2 linked regions of the Oryctolagus cuniculus genome follow. The protein of the gene in region 1 interacts with the protein of each later gene in a biochemical or structural test. Links are inferred from orthologs where the notes say so. Each region holds a gene or a part of one and is shown in the gene's direction. Other genes may lie near its edges.

Region 1 (4,512 bases):
TTTTATCTCACCACGCTGGTAGAGAAGAGCCTTAGGGTCATTTTATGGCAGAAACAAGTGTGAGCCTTGGGAGATACCAACCTGTTTTCAGTCTCAGAGGTGGAGGCCATGGGTTGGTCACGGTAGGCAATTTGTACCCACAGAATATTCTCCGCCTTGGGGGGCTGCTTTTGGAACCCCTGAGCCCCTATCCAACTTCTCAGGTCCTAGTTATGGTCTTTACTGCTCATCTGTGGGCCGGGACAGCAGGATTTGCATTTTGGACTTGATAACTTGTAGTCAGTGGGGACTATATGTCTCAAAGTGCCTCCCTCCCCATCATTCTGCAATGGCAGAAAGGGATAAAAGTGTACCAAGGTGGTGGGAAGACCCAGAGATTGGGGTTGAAGGCTGTAAATGGGCTGGCAGAGTTCATCCTGGGTAGCTCATTTAACTCCTCTGTGCAGAACTGTTTAACATTTTTAAAAAAGATTATTTATTTGAAAGAGAGATACAGAGAAAAAAGGAGAGAGAGTAAGATCTTTCACCTGCTGATTCACTTCCCAAGTTGCTGCAATGGCCAGAGCCCGGCCAATCCGAAGCCAGGTGCGTCTTCCAGGTCTCCTATGTGGGAGCAGGGGCCCAAGCACTTGGGCCATCTTCTGCTGCTTTCCCAGGCCATAAACAGAGAGCTGGATCGGAAGTGGAGCAGCCAGGACACCAACCGGCATCCATATGGGATGCCGGCACGGCAGGCAGAGGCTTACCCTTCTATGCCACAGCACCAGCCCCATTTAACATCTTTATGCCATTCCCCAGTTGAACTGGAACCTAACCCAGTCTTGATGCGCGACTCAAATGGTGCAAGGGATGTGAAGAGGCTTTGGGAAGACGACATCTCTCCCAACCTGAAGGAGGCGACACTGGTGAGGGTGCAGCAGGTGTTGAAGATGCTACAGACAAGTCCGCAAAAGCAGCGGCCAGCACACAGCCAACCTGTGTTCCATTTTCTTTTCAACCTTGGGTCCTGAGTCTGCTCCTGGCTTGGAATCAGGACTCCCGCAGAGGGCCTCACATCAACAGACACCGCTGTAACTTTCTGAGTTCCATGCGTGGGCTAGGCACATGTCTCATTTCTAATCTTCACAATCAAGTGCGTTCTTGACATTTCTGTTCACGTGCAAGGGTTAGGGCCAAGGCGTCTCTTCTTAACCTGTGCTCTTAACCACTGCCCTGGAGGCGAGAAAGACCCGGACTGCACCTGCTGGGGGAAAGGTTCACGTGTACACACTTTTTTTTTTTTCCAAGTGACTGAACTGGGGACACTGTCTACCGGCCATCTTGGTTGTGGCAACCCCAATCCTTTTTGATTTTTTTTTTCCTGTGACGACAACCAAGGGACTTGGACCAAGTCGTCGTGGCCCTACCCAGCTTTCTAAATCGGGCCCAGCCACTTCCAGGGTAAAGAGCGCGGCTTTCCCGCCCGCCGGGTCCGGGGAGTGGGCGGCGGCGCCACAGCGCGGCCTGCTCCGCGCCCTGCCCTCGCCTCGCGGGTCCTCGGCGGCCGGGGAGGGGCTCGGCGGGGCCACGACGGCCCCACGCCCCGCGGCTCCGCCCCCTCATTTAAATACGCGGCGCCGGCGGGTGCGTCGAGCTCGCCGCGGACCCAAGATGGCGGCGTGTGGACGTGTACGGAGGATGTTCCGCTTGTCGGCGGCGCTGCCGCTGCTGCTGCTCGCGGCGGCCGGGGCCCAGAAAGTCCCAGGCCAGGGCGTCCACGGTCAGGGCCAGGGCGCAGGGGTCAACGCGGTGCCCTTTGCAGGGCAGGCCGGAGGCGGCGGCCCAGCGGGTCCGCAGCTGCCCCCGTCATCGCAGCTCCAGCAGCAGCAGCAGCAGCAGCAGCAGCAGCAGCAGCAACAGCAGCCGCCTCAGCCGCCGCAACCGCCTTTCCCGGCGGGTGGGCCTCCGGCTCGGCGGGGCGGAGCGGGGCCCGGCGGAGCCGGCGGGGGCTGGAAGCTGGCGGAGGAAGAGTCCTGCAGGGAGGACGTGACCCGTGTGTGCCCCAGACATACCTGGAGCAACAACCTGGCGGTGCTCGAGTGCTTGCAGGACGTGAGAGAGGTGAGCGGGCGGGCCGGGCCGGGCCGGGAGGGCCAGGCCTGGTGCGGGCCCGCGGGTGCCGCCGAGTGTAGGTCGCCGCTGCGCTGCCCGCCCCTCTCTCCCGGGCGCCCTAGGGGGAGAGGACCCCACCCCCACCCCCAGCCCCAGCGGGCCCTTCTTCGCCCCCCTGTTCGGCGGGCTGGGACGGAGACCTCGGCTCCCCGCCTCAGCCGCCCGCGGCCCAGAGCGTGTTTCTGTTTGCTCCTGTCTTTTGTGTGATGCTCCTCGCCGAGAGCCACTTTAGCATTTTGCCCTCGGGTTCGACTCGGGCGATTTGTAGCAATCCATTTTAAACCTGGAAAATGCTTGGCGTGCTTCAGCTGCTGGGTGTGGGCTGTTCATTGGCTGTAGATCGTGTTTGATTAGGGGTCTGTTCTGGTGTGTGTTGTAGCCAACAGCAGGATTTATTGTCTTAACCCTCGTCCTTTTGTAATTTGCTGGTCCCCTCTTTTTTTTTTTTTTTTTAAACCTGGTGAACCGAGTGTGTGCTCTCCCTCTTTTGGTCAGTTTGTAGCGAACCTCGTTTTTAAACTTACACCATGTACCTTGGCGCCCCAAAGCTTGGAAAGTTGGGGCAGCGTGTGAAGCTGTAGTCCCTAACAGTGTATGTGGTTAGGTGGTGGAATCTTCCCTGAGGTCTGAGTCAGACTTCAGCAGCACCTCGGCATGAAATCTGCAGTGGATGTTGTCTGATAGGATTCAGCTAAGGGACGTGGGTAGTTGCTTCTCTAGATTTAATGCTGGGGTCATAAGTGCCTACTGGCCATTCTCAGTCCAAGTCTGGAAGCAGATCTGGTGGGGATTCTCTTTTCTAAGACGTAGATTTGCAGAACCAGCCCACCAGGTTGACAAGGAGAGGCTGCTGCTGTTTTGTCCGGGATGTTGTGTCTTGAATGCTGTCTAAGGCGCGCAAGGCTTTGGGAAGACCGCTGGCTTGGGGAAATGTGCTGCTCTTGGTCATTTTCTGCCTTCAGCCCACTGCCAGGCTCGTCCTAGTATTCTCCATAAAGTAATTCAGAAGAGACACCCAGAATCAGGAGAAGTTTCCAGAGCCACCAGACACGTGGGGCCTCCGTGATGTCTCACGTGTAGCTTGAAGCCAGAAGGAAGCTCCCTTGCTACTCTTCTTCAGCTGTTTTAGCAGCTTCAGCTACGATTCCTAACGCTGCCAAGCATTATGGAGTTTTCTGTTTGTTCCCTCAGGATACTTAATAGAGCTTGTTTCCTCACACGGGGATCCTAACACTGGTGGCCACCCATTGTTAGTGGTTGGTGGCAGAAACAGAACCTTATTAGGGAAAGTGGCAAAAAGTGTCCCATGCAAGTCTCCTTCATTTGCGTTAGAAACATTTGAAAATCTACAGTCTTCCTTTGTTGTGCGTGTAGACGTTTGTAGAGGTATACATACTCCGTAAATGACATAGATTTGATGATTTCCTGGAATCTGCTTAATTTATATCTTTGTTATATTACTTAGTATGTAGAAAACTACACTGGCTTGAAAATTCACTCCTAGCTCTACCAGTGACTGTAAGATTCCCAGCAAGGATATTATCACAGTAACTACATTTTTCTTCTTTTGTAGGGGTGATCCCTAAACTCTGAGGGGTAGTACCTAATTCAGTGCTGGCATCTCTGAAATACTGTTTGACTGAGGATGACTAAACTTATGGAGCTGATTTTATGCTCCAGAGGAAGAAAGGTATCATGTAAATTGGAGATGGGGGTATGTCTTTGGAGATGAGGGGCTAAATTTCCAATTTAGAAAAATTTCCTGCAAGGCCGGCGCCGCGGCTCACTAGGCTAATCCTCCCCCTGCAGCGCCGGCACACCGGGTTCTAGTCCCGGTCGGGGCACCAGATTCTGTCCCGGTTGCCCCTCTTCCAGGCCAGCTCTCTGCTGTGGCCCGGGAGTGCAGTGGAGGATGGCCCAAGTGCTTGGGCCCTGCACCCCATGGGAGACCAGGAGAAGCACCTGGCTCCTGGCTTTGGATCAGCACAGTGCACTGGTCGCAGCCCACCGGCTGCGGCGGCCACTGGGGGGTGAACCAATGGAAAAAGGAAGAGCTTTCTCTCTGTCTCTCTCTCTCACTGTCCACTCTGGCTGTCAAAAAAGAAAGATAAAAGAAAAATTTCCTGCAAGTTTACATACAGAAATATGGAAAGAAGAACACCATAAATACATGTGTATATTCTTGAGTAGATAGTTATTTTTAAACTTTTTTTTCTTTAAAGAGAGCAGAAGGGGGGAAAGCATTGTTGCACAGCTGGTTAAGCCGCCACTTGGGGCACCTGTGTCCCATATTGCAGTGCCAGTTTGAGTTCCGGCTACTCTGCTTCTGATATATATAAGTGGCAGAGCTGATACTCAGCA
Region 2 (3,808 bases), on another chromosome or scaffold:
AGCACGGGAGCCTGAATTGTACCCACCCTTTGGGGAACTTCAGCTACAATTCTTCCTGCTCTGTCAGCTGCGAAAGGGGCTACCTGCCAAGCAGCACGGAGACCACATGGTGTACATCCTCAGGAGAGTGGAGTGCTCCCCCTGCAACCTGCAAAGGTAAATTTCTCGGAGTGCAGAGGACATTCTCTAGTTCATCTCACCTTGCCTTGGTGTTCCATCCAGCTTATAATATTTTCAAAACTCCAGGGAAATGTCTTCTTGTGTTGTTTTAAATAACCAATGCAGCCAATGTATTAGGCAAATGTGGTACCTGCTTGGTGTGAGAGAGATTTTTATTCTCTGAAATGGATGTCTCCGAGGCCCTGGTGGTTCTCCAGGGCGAATATAAAACACAAGAACCTCACTGTAAATTAGAGCAACTCTCTCATCTTCACCTGTTTAACTTTCCCATGCAACGGACTAACCTAGGACCTCAATAATCAGGCACTCTCAACCTCTCTTTGGCTCACTCAAGCTTATCTTTTTGGACCAGAGTAACAAAATAATTCAATCCTTCAGGTCCTTCTGGTCTTGAATGATTAAAAGCCTTGGGCATGTCTGTGTGGTTTTTTTTAATCAAAATTAATCATAAATACTGATCTAAAATCAGTTTTTTTCATTTTTGCCTATGTATATGACAAAGTGCATCAGAGTCCACTCAGCCTAGTCAAAGTAAAAATGTGATAAGATGGAAACTCACTAAAAAAAGAATAAAAGCTTTATTGTGGGAATGCATATCTCTAAAAATTGAAGTAGGACTTTGGGATCTACCCTTTGGAAGCATCTTCCTTGTCCTGTTCTAAATTCCAATTCAATAGGAAGTGAAAATATCATTCTGTAAAACTCATGGTGCTCTTTCAAATCCCCAGTGGTCGAGTGTGATACTATGGGAAAGCCTGCCAATGGGGATGTAAAATGTTCCCCAAGCCAGGGAAGCGCCCCATGGAACACGACCTGCACATTTGACTGTGAGGAAGGATTTACACTGCTGGGAGCTCGGAGCCTCCAGTGTACCTCATCTGGGAGCTGGGACAATGAGAAGCCAACTTGTAAAGGTAGAGTTGCTGCACATCAAGACTTACCGTGAACATTCTCTTTTCTCTACTAATTCTTGAAATGAGCAAGGTGGACCGGCTAATCCAATGCATCCATATGTTACAGCTGTGTCATGTGACGCCATCCACCACCCCCAGAATGGCTCGGTGAGCTGCAGCAACTCCTCTGAAGGGAAGTTCGCCTTCAGGTCATCCTGCAACTTCACCTGTGAGGAAAACTTCCTGTTACGGGGGCCGGCCCAGGTGGAATGCACTGCACAGGGCCAGTGGACACAGCAAGCCCCAGTGTGTGAAGGTAAGCCTGCAAACCTCCTGGCCCCTTCCTTTCTCAAAAAGCAGTGGTCTTCAAATTTGGGCAGTGCACATGAAACCAGATGTCCACTTTATCTGTAGAAATCAGACTTGAAGAACACTCATCTTCCATCTATAGGATTTATATAAAAGAACCAGTGCTTGGTCAGGGAGAGGACTGTATATATTAGTGTGTGCTTTGTGGATGCTTTGGCATGGAATAAGCAGAATTATTAATCTAAAAGAAATAACTTTAGAACATTTGAAAAGAGGAATATTGAGAATATGATTTAAATCTAAAAGTTTTTGTCATCTTTATTCTGAAATTGCTTATAACTAGCAGAGATGAGACTTGGTGTCTGTTACAGAGACACTTAATATGTACATATATGAATACTGAAATTTACTTCAGCCTAAATCAAGAGAAAGGATATTGCAAGCAAGCTTGTGTTACTAACAGGCACTGGCATTCTCCTTGACATATATACCCCAGAATGGTTTCAGTGGAAAACTGCCGTAACACCAAAACCAACATGCAAAGCAGATAAACTTGATATAGGTCATCTTCTATATTTTTGGTGCCATCTTTAGGCATCTAGGACCCCAAAACTGCTTTCTGGCTGCATAAAATCTTTTCCTTGTCCATAACTTCTGCATGTCAGAAGAATGTTTAGGAACCACTGTTCCTGTTCAAGCTGTCCTTTAATTAGTGCCATTATCAAGGAAGGGATTACAATTTCAAGAAACCACAGCCGTCTTCCCAGGTGCCTCAGGAATAATGAAGAATCTTGAGTTTTTGAGTAGTGCTTTGCCCCACATAACTGGATTCACTCCCCAGATGCTCAGTTCCACAGCAGTATTTTCTGACAACCCTTTTGATGTCACAGCGTTCCAGGTTATAACCTTGTCCAGCCTGGAGTGACACTATGTGAATTATCTTCTTAGTGCTTCTGAAAGTTTCCAGCCATGAATTAATCTGTGAGCAGAGCAGGGAGTTTTGTTGAAGGGAACAAAAAGGCTCCAGTGTGGCTCCACAGTAGGACAATGAGAAGCCCACATGTGAAAGGCATGGTCTTTGTTTTTATTTTAGAAAAAACAAAACAAAAAAAACCCACAACTATTGAAAAGCTTAGGGGCTTGACTACCTTGGAGAACCTTTTGTGGTTCGATGCAAACAAAACTGCAGTGTTCTTGCTCTTGTCTTCTAGCTGTGAAATGTGATCCTGTGCATACACTTGAGGATGGCTTTGTGAAGTGTACTCATCCCCATACTGGAGAATTCACCTACAAGTCCTCCTGCACTTTCAACTGCAGGGAAGGCTTTGAATTACATGGGTCAGCTCAACTCGAGTGCACATCTCAGGGACAGTGGGCACAGGAGCTCCCCTCCTGCCAAGGTATGACTGAGTTCCAGCTTGTAGAGTACGGGTGAAATAGCTCAGAAACTCCTGACCCTAGATTATCCCAAGGGGCTTGATCCTAATTTCCTATATGCTGAAGATTAAGTGGTGCTTATAAGTTGCCTTTACTGGTGACTTTTAAGCCAGTTTAAGAAGGATTCCAATAGATTTTTCCTAACCATTTCCCCTGTTACCTATCATTTGCAGTGGTACAATGTCCAAGCCTGGCAGTTCTGGGAAAGACGAATGTGAGTTGCAGTGGGGAGCCTGTGTTTGGAACAGTGTGCAATTTTGCATGTCCTGAAGGGTGGACACTCAACGGCTCTGCAGCTCTGATGTGTGGTGCCGAAGGCCAGTGGTCTGGGATGCTGCCTACCTGTGAAGGTGATACATTGATCGATGGTGGTGGTGGGAGCCTACAGAGAAGGGGAATTGTCTGGCTGCAGTAATGAACTATCCTCATGTCCATAGCAGAAAGAAAGATCAGATTCACAAACTGGTGGACCTTATAGAGATAGAGAAAAAAAGCAGAAGAGGTAGCAAGTCAGTGGAATGGGTGTGGAATGGGTAGAATTCTGACAATTGGTAAAAGATGACCTTCAAGGGAAAGGAGGAGTGAGAAGTGGGGAAAAAAGGAGAGAGAGAGAGACACAGAGAGACAGACTCAGGTGTGTTACAGTTTTGTGAAAGGCTTGGCTAGTTAGAGTTCAGCCTGGCAGAAGTGGGAGATTGGCTCAAAGGCAGATAGGACAGATTTTAAAGGCCTCTATTGCTTTTTCTCTGCCTCACATTGAACTAGGTGACTCTTCTGCTCCTAATCATCATTGCAGAGAGACAAATGCCAAATGCATAGGGCAGAAAGATTTTAAAGTCAATTTCTTCTCATGATGGTTTTGTCCTTCTTGTCTCCTTAGAACCCATTGTGTCCAATGTTCCCTTGGCAGTTGGGCTTTCTGTTAGTGGAACCTCCTTCCTGACGTTAACCTCATTTCTCCTTTGGTTTCTGAAGTACTTTCGGAAAAA

The links.
Region 2: the proteins of GLG1 (region 1) and SELE form a complex in vitro, tested with the Homo sapiens proteins (2 studies listed by BioGRID and IntAct). The link is inferred for Oryctolagus cuniculus from reciprocal best matches to the Homo sapiens genes GLG1 and SELE.

The regions. Positions count from the first base shown.
Region 1 is NC_091449.1:57,187,850-57,192,361, reverse strand, and holds the start of GLG1 (Golgi apparatus protein 1), read left to right. Parts: upstream 1-1,626; 5' UTR 1,627-1,650; coding exon 1,651-2,100; intron 2,101-4,512. UniProt on the Homo sapiens protein: Binds fibroblast growth factor and E-selectin (cell-adhesion lectin on endothelial cells mediating the binding of neutrophils).
Region 2 is NC_091438.1:27,592,709-27,596,516, reverse strand, and holds part of SELE (E-selectin), read left to right. Parts: coding exon 1-156; intron 157-908; coding exon 909-1,094; intron 1,095-1,200; coding exon 1,201-1,389; intron 1,390-2,593; coding exon 2,594-2,782; intron 2,783-2,992; coding exon 2,993-3,169; intron 3,170-3,699; coding exon 3,700-3,808. UniProt on the Homo sapiens protein: Cell-surface glycoprotein having a role in immunoadhesion. Mediates in the adhesion of blood neutrophils in cytokine-activated endothelium through interaction with SELPLG/PSGL1. May have a role in capillary morphogenesis.